Bombyx mori: one gene and its partner. The protein of the gene in region 2 interacts with the protein of the main gene of each other region in a biochemical or structural test. Links are inferred from orthologs where the notes say so. Each region holds a gene or a part of one and is shown on either strand. Other genes may lie near its edges.

Region 1 (3,201 bases), on a different chromosome or scaffold from region 2:
TAAAAAATTGCACAACGAATTTTATTTCATTATTTCTACCTATTAAATAACTCTTATAATTTGTGTACGAAAACCTAGTTATATTTCATATAGCAGTGGGAAGATATTATACTGTGAGAGCACATTTACTTAATTGATTGTCTGTATGTTAAAACTTATAATTTACTCCAACTTCAAATGACGTTTGTGGAGAATAATCAGTGATAGGCAACAGCCTGTCTTGTGTTCCTGGCGGTGCGTCCAAGAGCGACGGTAGCCACTCGCCAGCAGATGGGCTGTATGCTCAACTGTCTACACATCTTGAATTTGTCATTAATGCAATTATGTTTGGATATTTGATAAAAAATATGTACCTACACTGTGAATATCAACCGGAACAATCAAAGACACTGCTGCCTAACGTCAGTTAATGGTGTGTTTGGGAATGCAGTTTGTATTCTGTCCATAAAACATATTATTTGTGGAATAACAATGGGAAAAGTTTAAATAAAATACCATAATTTCAACAATTTTTTTTTTTTACTTTGTATTGTAAATTATGTGCATCTGATTTCACTGACACCTAAATCTGGAATTATGAGATATCTAAGACTATTATTACCTATTTATAAAATATTGTTTTTTGCCAGGCATTCAAAAAAGGTTTGTTGAGAGTACTTAATAGTAAGCAAGAGCTTCTACATACAAGGGTAATAAAAAAAGAATTTTTGTAAAAATAAATTGTTACTTCGCATACTTTCGTGCAGAAATACATAAAACTTCAGAAATGTCAGAGAAGGCTAAAAAGACTTGCAAATGGGTAGGTTACATGCTCTACCCATTTAGAAATTAAACATGTTACATACCAAATTCATTAAGAACAACAAGTGCAGCTAACCATTTCATTTAATTTGGTTAATGTAAAGAAAACTGCCAGGTCTGAGTTTACGTATTATAATAGCAAACAATCTAATGAAAGTCTTATGGTGAAGGTGGTGGAGAATGTTGTTTTGCATTAGCTGCAAGTATTGCTCCAGGTGCTGGATAGGGCCTCATTTGATAGAGTGAACCAGAGGCTGTGGTATCTACACCTGTTTTAGAATGTGTATCTAAACCTGATGTCCAATTACCTCTAGGTACATCAGAGTAAGATGCTGGGTCCATTGGATCCAAGTCATTATCTTTGACCCTGAGCCTTTTTTTGTCTCTATGATGTGAATGTTCCTTTTCTCTTTCTCGGCGATCAGGTTTCTTATCTTTTTGAATCTGCGGAACTTCCTGATCCGAGGCCTCACTGCTTTCATCACTTTCGTCGCCTTCTTTCATCAGACGTTCTTCGCGCAATTGTGCGGCAGATTCCGTAGGCACAGCACGGGGATGTCCGGGTGGTATCCACGAAACCAGATTAGTGTGCACATTCCAAAAATAATGTTGACCATAACCTTCATCAAACACTTCTTCCCATCCTGGTGGCAAGGGCCATAGCTCTAAAACTTTCTCCTTGTGTTCTAAATATGTCTCAGTCGGTACCAGTTTACCTTGCTTCCATCTTTTAATACAAAAAGTAGAACATTCATGATAAATATTACTTTTATTAGGGCATCCTCGATGGCCTTTGACAGGATCGACAAAGCCTTCCCAAGGCTCATCTTTTCCATTTTCGTTAGGCTTACTATCATAATCTTCTGCAATTATTTCTTCGTTGATTTGACCAACAGATGCGACAGCGGTGGAATCTGCATTTTGTTTCAAAAGACCTCTTTTAGCTAAACGAGCAGCTAACGCCGGCGGTAAAGGCATTTCGCTGTGTTGTATATCTTGCCTAGCGTTGATATTTCTTTGGTCGTTTTTGAGTGTTCGCTGATTTTATTCCCGTTATAACGTAATGAAAACTAGGTAAAATCACTCTTAATTCACATAATTATACATCTACAACAACAACAGGAACTTGGTAGTAGTAGCAGTTCTATTTTTCCAACTGGAAAGGCAAAGGTATCATAACCATATATCCTAATCTTTTATCACTACATAGTATAAAATAAAGTCACTTTTTCTGTCCCTATGTATGTTTAAATCTTTAAAACTACGCAACGGATTTTAATGCGGTTTTTTTAATAGATAGAGTGATTGAAGAAGAAAGTTTATATGTATAATAACATCCATTAAATAGTGGAGATATCAATAATAAATTATAGTTTCCGAAGCGAAGCGAGGGCGGGTCGCTAGTATATTTTATAATGAAAAATGATAATATGGAGGCAAAATGAAAGGAAGTCGATTAATTTGGAACACTCATCACTTGGCATGAAATTAAATAAAATGAGATATGGGATGAAATTTAATATCGGTAAAATGGTGTTTATTTAATGACTTTTAGTGGACTTTCTGGAGAATCCCGAGAAGCTACAACATGAACTTGGTTTCATTGTGGTTTCATTTCAAATTTATTTTTAATTGTACAATGGTACAGGCCAAAGAAACAGCTCATACAGTTTAAGTACTTTGTTGTAGAAGGTCAAAACACTTAATCTAAAGGAAAAGTGACATGAATGTTAATAAGAACTAAGCCTATAGCGTTAACTCTTTCCTTCTTTAGAGTTCAAAAAGCTTTCACAAAAAGTAAAATTGACAGCATTATTCAATCACATTACTCTGATACCTCTGCAAAAATGATTCAATCTAGGTTATTGTCATTATAATTCAACTAGTTTCTTAGTTGAGAACAATATGATGACCTCGAGCAGGGAAAGATGGCAGGTCATCGCAAACGTATACATCAAATCTGCCCTCCCCAATACTATTTAACGATTACGAGTAAAGCATATTTTATATCCGTTTGGGAATGTTATTCTAACCGTGTATCTGTATACCTAATATATTATACTGTTTCTGGATGTTTCTGAAAAACAAATTAATTACATCACTTAAGTAACCCGCAATTGGTCAAAGGTTGAAATTCACATCAGGTATTTTTTTAATTCCTTGTACTTCATGCAAATCTTCATCTATTCCAATCCCAAATCTTTCCCAAGTCCCTGACTCACGATACGACTGAGAATTACCAGTTTCTGTCGCAAAAAATTTTTAACGGTGGCGGTCTGACAAGGCAGTTATACCAATGCAACAAACACTTCGAAGTTTTTTTAATTTATTGCTTAGTTGGGTGGACGAGCTCACAGCCCACCTGGTGTTAAGTGGTTACTGGAGCCCATAGACACCTAC
Region 2 (3,373 bases):
TGTCAAAATGCAGGATCAATTCGTTACGATGCGCGGCTTGATGACGTCACAAGCACGCACGTGGCGTATCCGCAAGAGACATCGACGCAACTCAATGGGCAACAGTGATACGAATAGCCACTAGCGATGACGTGCTTGCGTGTATAGTATGCGCGCTTTTTTATGTTTGAGATATTACTGTTGGGCCGGAGGCTTTTCCAGTTTTACCAGGACAGGTGGACGGGTAAGGGATCAACCTGGAGTGGTAAGATTTTCTAATAGCTACCCGAGCGCCTCCAAAGGAGACCTAATAGCTCAAGAGTAGCTGCTTCGCGAATTTGAATCAACTACCGGAATTTGGGAAGATCTGGCAAGAAACTCAGCGGGTTTCTACACACCATACACCTGTGTGACCCCTCTTTATCAATATTTCTACAGATTATTTAAAGCAATTATTATTGTCAAGATATTTTTAGTTAATACTAAAACCTAGTTTAGAAAAATAAAAAAAACAATACTCGTACCGTACTTAAATGTACTATTTATTCGAACTGAAAGATACTTTATTTTTAACACTTATTTACAAATAAGACTGACAGAAAATCCGTTACGAAGAGCGCTGCATACCAAGTTGTCATCTGCCATGAACATTTTATATCTTCATAAAATACTTCAGTTTCATAATTAATGCCACAAGCAATTCTCAATAAAAATATTTCATACACACAGTTCGTAGTACCAAATTACGTCGAGTGCTATCCATAGATTATTAACTACACAAACACGGTTTGTAGGTATTCTATGTTAAAATTTAAAAAGAGAATTTTGTTAAATAATATTTAGTACAAATTTTGCCAAATTAAAATTAAAATAAATGGGACATTGCTTGAATACTTTTTTTTTAATTTTACTATAAATTTACTATTTGAATTTCAAAGGCACGCTGTTTCGATCTGCGTTGTGGTACTCAAAACGTAAACCTATCCATTTAGCTTATAAAAGTCCTTCCATTTCCCTCATGAACTGTGAGTAGGCGTCGTCTTTAGTGGGAGCCTGTTTAGGAATATCTGTCGGCTTGTGAACATTAGACTTGATCGGTTTAGACTTCTTGTCCTCGCGTTTCACTCGCAGAGCCGACGGCACGAATCTCGTAACGTCGGCCGACAGGTTCCTTATTTGAGGTTTCGCACTTATAGTCGCACCTGTAAAACGATTGAAGATTCCAATTGTTAATTGTCCATTAGCCCTTTGACTGCCTTATATATAGGTCACCGGTAGCAACGCGGCGGGAAAGACGAAACCGAAGATACCTCTTAGAGGTATACTTAGTCTGGCCATAAATACTGTTACAATTAAAAATAAACAAATTATTACATTTGAATTTGGAATCTGTCATTTTTATATGATTGCTCATTGCGTTTTCTCATTTTGGCGCCAATACATTGTACAATATTTTGCGATATTAAAATGGAGTGGGTTGATAGAGAGAACCGAATCGCTGTGATTGCATTACATAAAGTAGGTATGGAGCCAAATGTAATTTTTAAAACTCTCCATACGCTTGGTATTAGTAAAATGTTTGTGTACCGGGCTATTAATAGGTGCAATGAGACCTCCTCTGTTTGTGACAGAAAAAGATCTGGCCGTCCACGTAGAACCATGTCGCGTATTTTAAAAGATGACTCAGGACTTGCAGCCTATAAGAGACGTACTGGTCATTTCTTAACTGATAATTTAAAAGAGAATAGGGTGGTAAAATCGAAACAACTACTGAAGCGGTACGCAAAGGGAGGTCATAGAAAAATTTTGTTTACGGATGAGAAAATTTTTACAATTGAGCAACATTTTAACAAACATAATGACCGTATTTATGCTCAAAGCTCTAAGGAAGCTTCCCAATTAGTCGACAGAGTGTAACGTGGGCACTATCCGACTTCAGTGATGGTTTGGTGGGGTATTAGCTATGAAGGAGTGACTGAGCCATACTTTTGTGAAAAAGGTATCAAAACATCGGCACAAGTGTATCAAGATACCATTCTTGAGAAGGTAGTGAAGCCCCTTAACAATACCATGTTCAATAATCAAGAATGGTCCTTCCAACAAGATTCGGCGCCAGGTCATAAGGCTCGGTCTACGCAGACTTGGTTGGAAACGAACGTTTCGGACTTCATCAGAGCTGAAGACTGGCCGTCGTCTAGTCCCGATCTTAATCCGCTGGATTATGATTTATGGTCAGAGGTTTAGAGAGTACGGCTTGCTCTAAACGCCATGATAATTTGGAGTCCCTAAAGCAATTGGCAGTGAAAAAATTTCCCATGGAAAGAGTGCGTGCTTCTGTTGATAACTGGCCTCAACGTTTAAAGAACTGTATTGCAGCCAATGGAGACCACTTCGAATAAGCTTTTTATACTTTAAATTGTTTTATATTTATGTATTAAACTAACACACTGTAAAAGTAAAAAATGTTATTTGCAATACGAGGGCTGCACTAAAAGTATCGGGAATGGAATATTTCCACTGTTCCTGTCATATTAAAATCTTTTTAATTGAAAACTCCTTGGTTTTAAAAATCGAATACCATTTATTTATTTAAAAAAAGATTCTCGGTCTTGTCACGAGGTTTTGTCAAACTTGTTTAGTCGTTGAGAAAATGGAATTGACTCGAGAAAATTCAAGAGCGATTATTTATTATGACTTTCGAAGTGGTTTAACACAAAAACAGTGTGTTGACCGGATGATTTATGCATTTGGTGATGAAGCCCCATCCAAAACCACAATTTATCGCTGGTTTGCTGAGTTTCAACGTGGACGTGTCAACCTCAGTGATGATCCCCGTCAAGGTCGTCAAAAAACTGCAGTCACCCAAGAAAACGTTGATGCTGTGCGTAAGCTGATTGAGGAAGATCGACATGTGACATACCGTGAAATTCAGGCAACTTTAGAGATTGGCATGAGTCAAATACAAATAATCTTGCATGAACAATTAGGTGTAAAAAAGTTGTTTTCCCGATGGATACCGCATTCGCTCTGTGAAGAGCGAAAAGCGGCTCGCGTTACTTGGTGCGTCAGAACTCTCGAAAGATTCCACGCAGGATCCTCAAATGCTGTATACAACATTGTATCAGGTGACGAATCCTGGATATACGCGTACGAACCCGAAACAAAAAACCAGTCACGAGTTTGGATGTTCGAAAATGAGTTAAAGCCAACAAAAATTGTTCGTTCACGGAGTGTTGCAAAAAAAATGGTGGCCACGTTTGTCTCCAAAACCGGTCATGTTAAGACTATTCCTCTTGAGGGACAAAGCACGGTTAATGCAGAATGGTATGCTAGCATTTGTTTGCCATAGGTCGTTTCTGAACTCCGTAAAGAGAACTGTAACCGCCGCATCATC

Evidence for each region. The genes of interacting proteins can lie anywhere in the genome.
Region 1: the proteins of WW domain-binding protein 11 (region 2) and polyglutamine-binding protein 1 form a complex in vitro, tested with the Homo sapiens proteins (2 studies listed by BioGRID and IntAct, with this or other methods). The link is inferred for Bombyx mori from reciprocal best matches to the Homo sapiens genes WBP11 and PQBP1.

What each region holds. Positions count from the first base shown.
Region 1 is NC_085131.1:6,064,026-6,067,226, forward strand, and holds polyglutamine-binding protein 1, read right to left. Parts: upstream 2,059-3,201; 5' UTR 1,780-2,058; coding exon 961-1,779; 3' UTR 501-960; downstream 1-500. UniProt on the Homo sapiens protein: Intrinsically disordered protein that acts as a scaffold, and which is involved in different processes, such as pre-mRNA splicing, transcription regulation, innate immunity and neuron development.
Region 2 is NC_085117.1:15,104,985-15,108,357, reverse strand, and holds the end of WW domain-binding protein 11, read right to left. Parts: intron 1,182-3,373; coding exon 973-1,181; 3' UTR 501-972; downstream 1-500. UniProt on the Homo sapiens protein: Activates pre-mRNA splicing. May inhibit PP1 phosphatase activity.